Drosophila melanogaster: one gene and its partner. The protein of the gene in region 2 interacts with the protein of the main gene of each other region in a biochemical or structural test. Each region holds a gene or a part of one and is shown on either strand. Other genes may lie near its edges.

Region 1 (7,423 bases), on a different chromosome or scaffold from region 2:
AGAGAGACACACACACGCACGCGGCACAAAATCGATATTCTAAAAATAATATAAGTAAAAAATATATATGCTCATACGAATTCTAACCGATTGCGTGCGTGTATTTGTGTGTGCGTGTGTGTGTGCGGGCTGGCTGGATTGCGAGCGTAATTACATATTTATTTATTTATTAAAACTTTTGAAACACCGAATTGCGTCTGGGGATTTAGCCGCTTACTGCGCACTTGAAAAATTTGCATTCGCCTTGGAAATTTGGCTTTAATTTTGCACTCGGCTTTGTTTAGTTGCCTTTTATTTCTCCTTCTTTATTCGGGCTTGGAATTTTCGCTGCAGAATTTATTAAAAACCGACTGCGTATGTGTGTATATAAAAGATTTCTATATCTTTTGCAACCGACGACGAAGGCGGCATACGGCAACTGTGGCGATATTTTTTTCCTTCGTCCGACTCTCGCGCTCTCTTTTCGTTTTCGGCTTGCTCTCTCTGGCACATGGGTATATACTATACGCGAGAGGGAGCAGGCACACACAAACGAAAAGCCTGCCTCCAATTGATTAGTATTAGTACTTCGAATAGTATTACTATTGTTATTGTTTTCATCTAGCTGACTTTCAATTGTTTGGTGCTGATATTTAGCTAGATTCCCCAGGTGCGATTACTCATTTGGCTTTTGTTTCGAGACCACTGTGCCAGATTTCTGGGTGAGAGCGTGGTGAGTTTCGTTTCAACTCACCACAGAAACTGTTGTTGCGCGTCGCGCTCTCTATTTAGGCGGCTCTCTCCCACACACGGTCACACTACAGTCCCAAAAATGAATGAAAATACCACAAAATACCATCCAACGCACGGGCACACCGGCGAACTGAAAGACGCCGCTGCTTTCAAGTTTTTCTCCCGTTTTTATTTCCTATCGAGGGCGATAACCAAACAAGGCTATCGTTATCGACCTCTCGCTCGCTCTGTATCCCTCCTTCCCTGTCGCACTCGCTCTCCTTTTGTGTGGCTAATTTTTTCCTTTTAGTCCTTTTTTCGGTTGCCTTCGTGCAGAAATTCCCTGCTTTATGTAATTTAGAACACAATGTTTGCGTTGCACTGTTGGCCGACTGCAGCTGAAAACCGCACAAAAAAAGCGACGCACACACACACCTTCGAGCATCCGGACTTCCAATTTGCACTGCTTTTCTAACAGTCTATCGCGCACGCACTGCCACAATTTCACCCGCTTATCGCGCCGCAATATGGGACGTTCGCTTTTCAATCGATTTTGGTAACCGGCAGGTGCGCTTTATGCGAGAATTACGAATTTTCTCCAGCGGCAACTAGAATCGTTCACACAGACACCGTAGAAGTGACGCCATCTTTGAAGCGATTAGTGTTGCAAAGCGCGTCTGCAAAAGTGCTGGCTACCAACTACGGTTGATAGGGATGAGGGCTATGGCTTGTTGACCGAAAATGATAAATGTTAACTATGCCAATATATTTTAGATTTTACTAATACGTTACAAAAATAAGAAAAGACTATGATAAAATTGTGTTTTAGCTTGGCTCATAAGTATTGATCCTTTATAAGCTATGGTCTTGCAGTGGCTAACATTTCTCAAATTAGGGCAACCATCTGATAAGATTTCTAATTCGAATTCTAATAAATGAATTTAAACTGCTTTTTCTTAAAGTTAAAAAAAAATTAGTTTTAAATCAAACGGCATGCATACATTAACCATCAAACAATGTAATTATATATATAATATTACCAATTGGGCTACTAAATATTGCTGATATGTAAGCTATGGTCATGAGGTAAAGGCATATTATTTATATAATTTTCATAGTATCTTTGTTGTAGGGGAAAAATAACAAGTAATTTAAAATTGTTCAATTGACTTAAAACAAAATATAACAGATATTATTTTTAAATCCAACGACATACCATATAAAGTTGGTATTTCTTTCTAATCTGCTTGGTATTCTCATCGACCCCAATCGGTCACACTGGTCGTGAATCAGAAACGCACTAATTAGTCAAAAAAACGGTACAAAAGATCGCTTAATTGCTGAAATTTCACCTGTCGCAGTTAAGTTTACCCACCAGCAGTTCAAAACCAGCCAGAGGCTAGCTAAAAACCCCAAAGATCGACCCCAAAACATCGCCGCAAAGTGGACAACTCCCAGTTTTCAGAGCACCTGCCCCTCAAAAAGGAGCATCGCGACAAAAAGGCGAGACTTCGCAGCAGAATGTCCTCGCTCTCTGCGTCCGCGGAGAATGTGTCCAGTTTGGGACTGGGATCGGGCGGAGGAGGAACTACTTCCCACGACGGCAACTCCCAGCAGGGTTCCGGATCCGACGGAGGATCCAGTATGTGCCTGGAACTGGCCCTCGAGGGTGAACGCCTCTGCAAGGCGGGTGACTGCCGGGCGGGCGTGGCCTTCTTCCAGGCGGCCATTCAGGCCGGAACCGAGGATCTTCGCACTCTGTCCGCCATCTACTCCCAGCTGGGCAACGCCTACTTCTACCTAGGCGACTACAACAAGGCGATGCAGTACCACAAACACGATCTTACGCTGGCCAAGAGCATGAACGACCGACTGGGCGAGGCCAAGTCCTCTGGCAATCTGGGCAACACCCTCAAGGTAATGGGTCGCTTCGACGAGGCGGCCATCTGTTGCGAGAGGCACCTAACGCTGGCCAGGCAGCTGGGAGATCGTCTGTCCGAGGGACGCGCTCTTTACAACCTAGGAAATGTCTACCACGCCAAGGGCAAGCACTTGGGTCAGAGAAACCCTGGAAAGTTCGGCGACGATGTCAAGGAGGCGCTCACCCGTGCCGTGGAGTTTTACCAGGAGAATCTGAAGCTCATGCGGGATCTGGGTGATCGTGGTGCTCAAGGTCGAGCTTGTGGTAATCTGGGAAATACCTACTACCTACTAGGCGATTTCCAAGCGGCCATTGAGCATCATCAGGAGCGACTGCGCATTGCCAGAGAGTTTGGTGATCGCGCGGCTGAGCGAAGGGCCAACAGTAATCTTGGCAACTCGCACATATTCCTGGGACAATTCGAGGACGCCGCCGAACACTACAAACGCACCTTGGCTTTGGCCGTTGAGTTGGGTGAACGCGAAGTGGAGGCCCAGAGTTGCTACAGCTTGGGCAACACCTACACGTTGCTGCACGAGTTCAACACTGCCATCGAGTATCACAATCGACACTTGGCCATTGCCCAGGAGTTGGGCGATCGAATTGGTGAGGCCAGGGCCTGCTGGTCACTGGGCAATGCCCACTCTGCCATCGGTGGTCATGAGCGGGCCCTAAAGTATGCGGAACAGCATCTTCAACTGGCCAAGGAGCTGCACGACCCGGTGGGTGAAAGCACAGCCAGGGTGAACATCTCCGATCTACGAAAGCTACTCGGAATGCCCGACTCCGAGCCTTCACCCACCGAGGAGGAGGCTCGATCCACCGCCTCCGATCACTCGGCCAGCGGAAATCAGTCGGATGGATCGGAGAACTCGCAAGGAAGAATGGTAAGAGAAACGAGCTGCAACAACATAAAGCAATATGAATGATTCCTGAGATATTTTTAAACAATACTGGCAGTCCGTTTGTTCTATTTTTCGAAGTGGACACCTGCTGCTTGCAGTGTTTGCCCCTTTATGTTAGCGTAAATATTTATACTTTGTACCAAAACACATCGTTAAACTTTCGATTCGAGCACATGCTGAGAAATTGAAACCCCTGAAAGATACATAGCTAAATTTATTACTTTAATTGCTTCCCGTCAGGTGCGCGTTCGTCGCCAGAGCATGGAGCAGTTGGACCTGATCAAGATCACTCCCGATGGAAAGCGCATGCAGGAGGAAAAGCTACGAGCACAGGCGACCAGGAAAGCCAAAGACGACGACTTTTTCGAGATGCTTTCGCGGTCGCAGTCGAAGCGCATGGATGACCAGCGCTGTTCGATCAAGGTGAATCCCGCCGGAGCTCCGGCGGTGGCCACTGGCGCCACGCGTAAGCCGCTTGTGCAGCAGAACTCGTTGTTCGTGGATCCCACCAACCTGCCTGGCCTCAAGTCACCGTCGTCGGCGAATCCATCAGCCATTGGACATGGGCCGCTCGCCAGGAGCGCCACCACTACGCAGCAGCCCGATGATGACTTCCTAGACATGCTTATGCGCTGCCAAGGCTCGCGTCTGGAGGAGCAGCGGTCCGAGTTACCGCGCCCCAATGTCACCATGGACGCAGAGGCGGAGGCACCACCGCGATCCGTCCCAGAGGCTGCTGTTCCAGGGGCACCACGCGGACAGACCGGACGTGGAGCTACCGTCCCCGATGAGGACTTCTTCTCACTGATCATGAAGGTCCAGAGCGGTCGCATGGAGGATCAGCGCGCCTCGATTCCGTTCCGAAATGCCAACAATAACAACAATAGCCGCAGCAACAACAACGGTTCAGCCGGCGGAGCTGGAAAGTAGAGAGTTGTAGTCCAAAAAGCTGAAGTCCAACCAAACAATCCTATAAATCCATCCCTGGCCGCAGCTCCTGACTCATTTCGTTGTAAGCCCATCTTGCGGCCATTTATTCAGTCGTTTATTTTCGGAAATTGGCTGCTAAACATTTTGTTCTTTTACAAGATTTATATATACACACGTACACGAAAAGCATTAATTTATGAATAGCAACTAACCACGTAACCAAATATTAGGGGTGTATAGGGCCTCGTCTACACGAGCAGAGGGAGGAACCTCCAACGGATGCACACACTCATCCACTCATGACTCATTACATACTCCACCATGAGCTGGCCATGATATTGAACGATATGCACTCGAGTCTTACGATATTAACGTTTTAATTGCATGTGCAAGTAGTTTAAGCCGGATAATACTAATGTACTAATCCAATTTGCTCAATAGACGGAACCAAGTCTTCTCTACGATCAACGATCTTACATTCTCGTAGCCACATTCAGCTAAATATTAAGTTTTAAGTCCATCGAACCCACTCTACATGTAAGCAATGCATTTTCCAAATCAAAATCTAACTACAGATATATCCAATTGTAACTATGAGTATTGCATTTTTCTATCAATCTATCGATCGATCTAAACTCTGAACATATTTTAAGCCACTTACAATTTTTGTTAGTATATTAACAAGACACAAAGAATAGCAGCTCGGAATTCCATTTGAGGACCGGCGCTTGTGCAAGCACTTAGCATACGATATACACAACCAATCATACTTACACATATACAAGAAACATATGAACAATATATATATAGTTATACCAATGTCTAACGATTTGCCTCTTCGGGTATTGTTCTACACAATATATACAATACAAGTTATATATACACAAAACAAAAACACAAAACTGAGTTCGAGTTGTACGAAATGAAGCCAAAATTTATTAATGTTATACTTTTTTGTAGCACGAGATCTACGGGATCTGCGAATGAAAGATACCATACAGGCGGACAATTATGTCGTGTATTATTAAATATTAAAATCAAAAAATGTTTGCTGACACGTTCGTGATTTTTATTCCAAGATAAGGGTTTTAGATTCAGATACTTAAAGATCATATCAGTATGTGACAAAAAAAAAAAAAAGACTATTTATTCGACTTTAAAGCTTTATTCATAAATTAATCGTCTTAGGTTGCTAGAACATATGCGATAAGTATTCGAAAGTGGGTTCCCTCTAGTCGCACTCCCCTTTTGGCTTAGTTGGGGCAGAATCAAGGCCTCTGATCTCTTCTCCCCCCTAAAAGTAGATCTTAAATTTGCTCTGTTTTATTTACAAATTGATTTAGATAACTCAACAACGGAATGCCTACGCGGCGAACCCCTTCTTGCTGTCCATGTCGGCGGCCAGCACGAAAATGGGTGCGGAGTAGTCCACAGGCTTGTCGCCTCCTTCGCCCTTCAAATAGGGATTCGCCGCCTTGAGGTTCCGGTTTCGCTTCAGCATGACATAGACCACAAATATGCTGACCAGGAAGGCGGAACTGGTGGCCATTATGAACAGCACCAGCTGGATGGACTCGTCCTGGGCGGTGGCCGCCTGAGCCACTGGGACATGAGCACTGCGGTGCACAAAGTGGGAGCGGGTCAAGTCCGGCCGGAAGTGACCGCCCGCCAGGCGGAAGTCGCCGGCGGAAATTGCCGCCTCGATGGCAAAGGCCAAGTCCACCTTGGCCTCGTTGTGCAGCTCAAAACGGACAATAGCGGATCCATCGAAGTTCTCTTGGACGCGCAAGTTTTCGACGGACTCACCGCCGAGTAGCTGCTGCAGTTCCCGCCGGATGGTGTCGTAGGCATTCCTTATACTCCGGCCACTGCTGTTGGTCAGATGGAGTTCGATGGCCACCGCCTCTATCGGAACATGACTGCAGCGACGATCGCCAGCTCCAAAGACGTGGGTGGACTGTAGCTGGTTGCCGGCCGCATCGACGCACCAGCAACTTCTGCCGTTGCACTGCAGCGGGCGGAAGGCTCCTGCCTCATCGCAACTGACCGGGAATGGTGCCGTTTTCGACAGAGCTCGACAACGTGTGGTCTTCAGCTCCATGGGTTTCAGGGTGGCCTGCTCCACGGATAGCTGAGAGTCCAGCAGTGAGTTCGCCAGCTCTAGTACTCTCTCCGTAACACTGGACTCCGCTGCACTGGCGGTGGCAGGCAGCACCCTAGCCTCCAGCTCATCGAAGTCCAGATCCTCGCTAGCGACATCATTCAGTTGGGTGAGCTGAGCAATCAGTTGCTCCATCAGAGGATCGCCAGAATCGAATGCCTTGCGGTTACGAGCCTGTCGACTATTGCATATGGGTTCGCTCTCCCGGGTGAGGGTTCCCTTTAGAGGAGCACCCTTCTTGTCCGCACACCAGCAAACTCCGGGCGCTTCCTCGCCAGCGGATGCAGCTGGTTCCGATGCAAAGGCGCGACTAACGATCTCCGTGTGCCTGTCCATGGGTTGGGGCTGCTTGCCCAAGCATTGCACGGGACTCCAGTGGCCAGTGACTGGGTCACATCTTGGTTGGAACCAAACTGAGGAGTGTCCTGTTCGCTGGGCAGCCAGGTTGTTCTTGAGCTTCAGGCGCTCGCATTGAGTGAGCACTGGGGACGAGACGAATAAATGGATTAACGAGGAGTTCCAAAACCAAAAGCGGAGGCTACCATCTTACCTGGACACACGGAGTTGCAGGCGAGTTCGTTGTGGAAGAGGTTCTTAGTTTGGCAGGCGGGTGCCTCGGAGTCGATGACCACGGGTAGGCACTTGTTTGCCTTGGGACTGAACCTATAGCGCGTGCTATTTTTCTCCGATTTGCCAGTGGCCAGACAACCATTATCCATGGACTCGAAGCAAACATCACGGGTCTTGGAGCAGCAAACACCACGGTTATTGACCGGATTCAGCTGACAGGAGTGG
Region 2 (7,804 bases):
CTTTCCGCTCCTTGTCCAACTCCACTTTCAGGTTATCTACAAGCTGCTGGGCAGATTCCTTTTCACGCTGCAAATCATCTGATAGTTTGGTCTGTGCCTCAATGACAGACTTAACCTGAGCCAGTTCTTTCCGTTCCTTCTCCAGCTCCACTTTCAGGTTATCTACAAGCTGCTGGCCGGATTCCTTTTGACACTCCAAATCATCTGATAGCTTGGTCTGTGCCCCAATGGCAGAGTTAACATGAGCCAGTTCTTTCCGCTCCTTCTCCAGCTCCACTTTCAGGTTATCTACAAGCTGCTGGCCGGATTCCTTTTGACGCTGCAAATCATCTGATAGCTTGGTCTGTGCCTCATAGGCAGACTTAACCAGAGCCAGTTCTTTCCGGTTCATGTCCAGCTCCAGCTTCTGGCTATCTACAAGCTGCTGTCCTTCCTGCAGCTTTGCCTGCAGTTCCTCTAGTTTTGTCGACATAAGTACACAATTTTCAAGTGCGTCCTCTTTGAGCTGTGTTAAGCTTTGATTTTGATTTCTCTCCAAGTGCTCGTTTTTCTTAGCCTCCATGTCACATTTAGCTTGAAGAGCTTTAATCTGTTCTTCATACGTTTCCTTTATCTGGGCAATTTTTTCATCAGATGACTTCAGTTTGTTTTTCAGATCTTTCAGCTCGCACAACTTCATGGAGAGGTTCCTTTCCGAAGCCTCCAGATTTTCGATTATTTTCGCACGAAGGTCTAACTCTTTTTGCGCTTTTAACAAACTCTCATTCAACTTTGAATGCACGGTATGCGATACAGTGTTGTCCTCGCTTAACTTTGCGTTGACCTTCTCTAGGTTTTGGATGGTGTCGTTTAGCTGTTTTATCAAGGCACCCGAATGCTGGTTGGTATCCTTATTTTCTAGCTCTACCTGTAGCTCAGCCACTTGCATCTCCAATTTTGCTTGAGATTCCGTGAGCTTTTCTACCAACGACGAGGACTCCTCGTATCGCACCTCCATCTGGTCATACATTTTTAAAAATTCGGTCATACAAGTGCCCAGCTGCTGTGGGGTGTTTACGCCATTGAAATCTTGCTGAAGGCGATCCCTAATGGTATTGATAAACCTAATGGCTTCCACATGGTAGTCCTTTATTTCCTGCTGTGCTATGTCTAACCTCTGTGCCATTTCTTTCGCATTGCTTTGCTCCTTGCTTAGAGTATTTTCCAGCTGGACTACCTTTTGCTTTCTCTTGAAAGCTTCTTCCTCTAGATCTGTTATGTATTGCTTCACTTTTTCGGTGTTGACCTCTAGAGAAGTGATGAATTTATTGCGTTTTATTATTCCATTGATGTTCTGCTTAGCGAGCTCCTCATTTTTCGACCGAAGATCATCCAACTCCCGCTTGAGATCATCAGCCGAAAGCAATTGCCCCTCAATTAACATTTCAATATTCTCAAACCGCTTTTCAATATGCATCGATTCCAGAAAGTTGGTCGCTGAGCCCATGGTCGTGGATTTCGGACAATTTCTACTTCTTAAGAGTGTAAAGATGCGGGTCAGAAAACGATCAAAATGATTGTTATGCTCATCGAATGCCATGATCTGTGCATTCTTCGTTTCCAATTCGATCTCCGTTCTCTTTACAAAGTCTAGATGGGAATGCGTCATGTTGTCATGTTTAGCGCTGAGTTCATTTAATTGCTTCAGCATCTGTGCATACATCTTGTTATGTTCATCATGCATCATCTCCAGATCGATCAGTTGGCGTACGCGCCCATTTAAGGTCTCCCCATCTGGCACCATCATCATCCGGACCAACTCATCTTGGGCCGCGTTCTTAGCAATTAGTTCATTTCGACACACTTCATACTTGGCTCTTAAAAGCTCACCGCACTGCTTCAAATGCTGTGCATGGCTTGCCGCACTGGCCTCTTTATCTGCAATTTGGCTGAGCATATTTTCAAGGTTTATATTCCTTTTGCGCAGCTCCTGAATTTCAGCGCCCACATCTTTTATCTGCTTTTCCTTCTCGATTAGCTGCAGATTGATATCGGCCAAATGTTGATCCCCGCGATCAATTATTGATTTAAGCTCAGCGCATTTATCATTAAGCCTTTCGTTGTCTAACTCCAGGTCGTTGTTTTTCGATGCTATATCGACTACCTTCATATGACAACAACTCAAAATGGTTTCACACTCACGGCTCGATTCGAAACCCGACTCCATTGCCTCCGGTATTGTGGCCTCGAATCCATCTAGCTCTTTTGGCTGGCATCCCAGCGATACAGATAACAGCTTGCATTTCTCCAGTAGTTTTTCGACGCACACAGACTGAACGTCGCATTCCTTCTTCATTTGCGTACTCTTCTCCAACGTGTTAACAAATTTACTTTCGATCGCAGAAATGGTGGACAACAGGGACGACGATGTCCATTCTACCGGAAACTCGTGATCGATATTGTGCTTCTGAAGGAAACTTGAAAGGGCCTGACATAGCTCCCGCTGGGAATTGTTCAGATTCAGCAGCTTCTCCTTTAGCTCGGCATTCTCATGCTCCTTCTCGCGCAACTGTTTGTCAATCACGGAACTGGCCAAATTCTCGGGCGTGGTGTTCGGCGACAGCGAACAGTCGAGTAAATCCGAGGATGCGTTTAAGACCTCGATTCGGTTGTGCAAGTCGTCGCGGGCTTCTTTAAGGCACTTATCCAATTCCTGTTTATCGGACTCCAGAGAGGAGATCATAACGTCCCTGGACGATACGATACGAGTCAAGTCGTCTACACGACTTTCAAGGAATCGAATGCGGTCCGTATACTCCAGCAATCGTTTTCCTGCCAGATTCAGCTATTTAATGAATGCAAGATATAACATATATTAGATTTCATTATGAATTGAATGTAAACGAATATAATCTATACAGTTGCTAGTTTTTCGCTAACATTCGCACAAGACCCGGTGGAATTTTCTTTATAGTATAGTCCCTATAAAATTGAACAGGTAGCTTACCTTCTCGGACAGCTCGGAATTTTCGACACGCAAATCATGCAGCTTATCGGTAATCTCAGCGATGAGACTCTCCTTTAGACCGATTTCCTTTAAAAGGCATCCCTTCATCTGAAATGAGGATTAAAAGTTTTATTAGTTTATAGCTCCCGCTCGCTACCTGTGACCATCTGCGCTAGTCTACCTACATGCTCAAACTCATATGGCATAATGTGGTGGCTCTCGTTATCGTGGTGCTCTTCGGTTAGCTTCACGTTTCTTAGTTTTTCTAGTTCCATCTTGGCCATCATTTTCTCTGAAATGCAAACGATTATGAAATTACTTGTAAAAAAATTATGAAAGTAATGCATTCGAAGCATTCTAACCTTTGTTGAGAACTTTAATGAGCTCGTCCTTCTCCATTTGCTGCTCCTCCAGCAAGGCCTTTTCGTAGCGCACCACCTCCAGCTGGGTACGAATACCGCGCAGCTCCTTGGTGCGTTGCTCCAGTAGCTCCGTTTTCGGGGTCGAAGGAGGTGGCATTTCGCAGCCATTCAGGCGAAGTTGTTCGCGATGATTGCGCAACTGTGGCGTGCTGCTCGACGGCTGTGACGATGACGATGAGGGCGTGGATGGGCATGGTGCATCATCGCTCCTCGGATCGGGACTCAGGCTGCTGCTGGGAAGACATGGGCTGACTGAGGTCGAAACCCCTTGTCGGTAAACAACTGCAACGTTGGCGATCGCCTGGCTAAGATATTCGCGCGTCAACAGCCTGTCCACGGTCTCTCGAAAGAAGGATGCGATGCATGTCTGTGTCAGCTCCGGCAGTTTATTGCAGATGTTGTGAAAGAACAAGCTGGGCTTCTTAACGCACGAGTAATGCAACAGGAGCGTGTAAACGTAAAGGCAATCCAAAGGCAGATCGACTTCCTTGTCATCCTGTTGTGCAATGAACTCGGGATAGTTATCTGCATGGGAAAATTTACAAGTTAGTGGGTTCATGAAGTTGGAAGTGCGCTAAATTCTCATACTAAGGCTTCACTATTTATTAATGTTTCCCTATACCCTATGAGAAACTAGGAAAATAGGTAAAAAAAAACTTACGTGCTAGGAATTCCTGCACAAGGGGGCTTTGTTCTGTGGGCTGATCCTGCAGCTCATTCTTCCCCTTAACATTTTCCGTCTCCTGGATCTTTTGAATGAAGACCGAAAAGAAGGAGTCCAGATCCGACTGCTCCAAGGTAATGTAGTTCGATTCGATGAAGTGGCACTCGCCAATCTGCCGCAGAATTGGGTTAATCTAAATGATTCCCAGTGCGTGATGCGCAATGCGAGATTTACATACCCACTGGAGTAGGACCTTGCGCCAGCTGCGCGTGTCCATTGCGAATTTTTGTGCGTTTTTATGGGTGTGTGTGCGCCCGTATATGTATGCTCAATGTCTGCGTAGACTAATCACACTATCATTGTTGGCATCCAGTAACGGATGTTTTCCAGAACACGGCACAGCACACAAAACAATGTACGCGAAACAAACGGGTTTCGATCGAAAACGCAATTAAACAAAAAATATATTTAGCACAAATGCTCACGAAAACCGAATATTTGTTTTTTTTTTTGTATTTTCCAACCAGAAGCACAACTGCTCCGAACGAGCAATGAAAATTTAATGACTAAACTGAAGTCCGCAGGGCAACAAACAATTTTGACAGTTCCACAAACGAAAACATAGGTAACTAGATACGAAAAAATGCAACAACTTCTCGTTTCGGCGGCGCGTCGTTTAATTCAAATGCCGCAGCGCGACGCCATGCGAGGTGCGCTCGGGTATTGTTATCGGGCGATCGATACTTTCCAGCTGCAAGCCAGGCCGCGTCCACTAGATGCGTTTCTGCTATCGATATCTGTGCGAAAGAAGTGGCTTGTGTTTCCACCATGGCATATTGCATAATTCAAGAAACAAATGTTTCACATGAAATTTGATAAATAATTCAATCTACTTTGTTACGAACTGCTTTCCTGCCTTAGTGGAACGGCTCCAACTGCAATAACCTGTTGCTTTAATACCAAAGTATCCAAAGTATATAGTGATATTTTCAATTGAAATTATCAATTAATATATTAATATGTAATTAATATATATTATCTAATGTAATTTTCCAAGTATGGAAAAACTAGTTGAATCCCGCTATGCTGAAAAACTAAGCAAATTCCATAATTGAAACCGCCTTTTGTGTTTACCCCAATCTCACACATAGATGGCGGCACTGGTCTACAATGCGAATTTCCTGCCAAGTAAACAAGCAACCAAGTGGCTTCTATTTTGGCGGGGAATTCCAAAATCCGATGGCCAATAGCGACCGAGTGTGGCCCACCACATGTAAACTATTAAATTGTAATAACAATAATCAATGACCGAAAACAATGTGCCCGGAATTGCCACCCACCCATCCTCGTTTCTGGGCACGCACACGAGCACAGGGTAGCCGAAAATCTAGTTATAGTGCTGATCGTTAAAAATAACGCCACCATTAATTCGGACAAACAATGGAAATGCACCGCTGATGTACATGTAAAGCAAAAAAAAAAAATCAGAGAAAAAACCAAACATTTTAACGTAAGGAAGTAGGCAGAATAAACAATATGGTGGTGCGAAAACGACAAGCGGTTCAAAAACTATTGTCTAAATTAAGCGTTACAAAAAGAAAGCCATCAGCTTGATCGAAAATCAATAATTACAATACTTGAATTTCAACTTGAAAACACCTCGCCAAAAAATCTCGAACTAAACTATTCCATAACTATTAGTTTTACAACTCACTTAAATCAAGTTGTAAACACACGATTTTGAAAATATTCAAAAGCCAGATGGGCTGAACTATGTGCACAATACAATTCTCACGTATTTAGCATTGATTTCGTTACGAAGATCGGAACATTTCCTTCCTTTTGATTGCCGTCTATTTATAAAGGCGAATTTCCTGTTTATATTTTTTATAATACATTTATTTAGTCGACACAATGGCGAGGTCGGGCCTCCGCCCCCCCCCCCCCAAAAAAAAAAAAAAAAGAAAGAACTACTCCACTTCCACATGCATATGTACATCCATCCAGATGGTTATATCTCACGGAATCGAGCTGACACGCACCACCTGCGCCAGTGGCAACGTGTCCAGGCGCTGTAGTCGCTGTCGTTTCTCGCCGGGATTGAGCTTGGCCGCAGCACTGGCCTGGCCACCTGGACTGGCGACCGTACTGCGACCTGATCTCGTACCCGGACCAGATGCGCCAGCTGAATCCGTGCTATCGCTCTGCGCCTCCACCAGTTTGACATGGGCGATGGTCTGACCGAAGAGCTTCTGCCGGAAACTGGGCCTCTTGGGCGCTCCACGATGCACGCCAATGTCCGGCGTATGCGAGCGCTGATGGCTACGTTGATGATGATCATCTCGCTCCACGGAGCGCTCCTTGTGACGATGGCGTCGCTGCTTCTTGCGGTGCTCACCGCCACCGTTGGGCAGCAGCTCGTTGACGTAGTGCAGCGAACTGGAGGCACTGCCCGTGGAATCGGTGCCGGAGTGACCATGATGCGATTGCGCCTTCTTCGCGTGGCGCGCATGCTTCTCCTCCAGCTCGATTTTGTTCTTTAGCGTCACCTCCTCGATGTGCCGCTCCTGGAAAATGAAAGAGCATCGCTGAGCATCATTCATTGGCTTTCCTCGTATTTGGTGTGTCCTACAAACATGGCACGCCTGTGCTTGTCCCTCTTGGCCAGGACGACCACCCAGGCGCCGTAAGAGAGCATGATGCCCGCCGGTACCAGGACGCCAGCCAGCGAGTTCTCCGACTTCCGGACGCAGGCATGGTAGACGGCCAGGAAGAGCACTGTGGAAATGGATTTGAGTTGAGTTCGTGGCTACAGTCGTGCTTCGCTAACAACGACCAATTCAAAATGAGCATGCGAAAGTCGGTGGCAATTCGATTTGCGTGCTCTAATTTAGTTTAGTTTTTAGTTTTGTTTACCAGTTAAGAATTCGAAAATGATTTTAATAATGGTTTTCTCAAAAATCTAAAAGATCTTTTCATGTAAGCATTATTAAAGAGATACTTATGAATTTATACCTATGTATGTGAATATTTTTCACTTGGCTGGTTTGTGTTAGGCAGGCCTGACTGTAGTATTACAAAAATCCCAAAAACTTACCCAGAAAACAGACGATCACAGCCACCAGACGTCCATTGGCTTTTCGCTCCTCCTGCAAAAGGACAACATGGATATATGGGAATATGAGAAACGGGGTCACCAATTCCAATCAATTTGCAAAGTTGCAAAATTGGATTGAGAATTTTTCAGGGCTTTTCAGGGTTGGCTCTCTTTTTGTTTTTGTGAGTGATGCCATAAAAACAATTGTTTACAATTTTCACGTTCCGTGCATATAGAGGCTTATACACGGCAAAAAAAAGTGCAAATAGGTAAAAGCAAAGAAATCTACGTGCATTTCTATGCTGGACAAAAAGAAAAAAGTGATAGTTTCTTGCAAATAACAAAAAGTTAAGTGCCTTGGATTTTGAAAATAAGATTTCAAAAATGCTTAAATCAACTTGGATGCCAATTAATTTGTTTTTAATTGCACAAAAGTTTCCGAAAGGGAAACTCAATACCGATTTGATTATCTTACACTTCATAAAATGGCGTGATTTACACAAAAACGCTTGGGCATTTTTTTTTTTTTTGTGTATATCTGGGACTTTTGTTGATTTCGCTTCGTTATTTGTTGATCGCAAAATGCGTGCCTGATTTTATACAATTTGTATTAAATAGGTTTGGAAATTTTCAAA

Evidence for each region. The genes of interacting proteins can lie anywhere in the genome.
Region 1: the proteins of mud (region 2) and pins form a complex in vitro, tested with the Drosophila melanogaster proteins (2 studies listed by BioGRID).

What each region holds. Positions count from the first base shown.
Region 1 is NT_033777.3:27,580,856-27,588,278, forward strand, and holds pins (partner of inscuteable), read left to right. Parts: upstream 1-1,984; 5' UTR 1,985-2,232; coding exon 2,233-3,519; intron 3,520-3,777; coding exon 3,778-4,467; 3' UTR 4,468-5,521; downstream 5,522-7,423. Other genes in the region: CG5639 (uncharacterized protein), read right to left, coding at 5,831-7,110, 7,179-7,423.
Region 2 is NC_004354.4:14,244,665-14,252,468, reverse strand, and holds the start of mud (mushroom body defect), read right to left. Parts: upstream 4,738-7,804; 5' UTR 4,350-4,737; coding exon 4,311-4,349; exon of another isoform or gene 4,245-4,310; coding exon 4,070-4,244; exon of another isoform or gene 3,934-4,069; coding exon 3,349-3,933; exon of another isoform or gene 3,279-3,348; coding exon 3,172-3,278; exon of another isoform or gene 3,095-3,171; coding exon 2,987-3,094; exon of another isoform or gene 2,825-2,986; coding exon 1-2,824. Other genes in the region: CG32599 (uncharacterized protein), read right to left, coding at 6,091-6,639, 6,705-6,850, 7,170-7,221.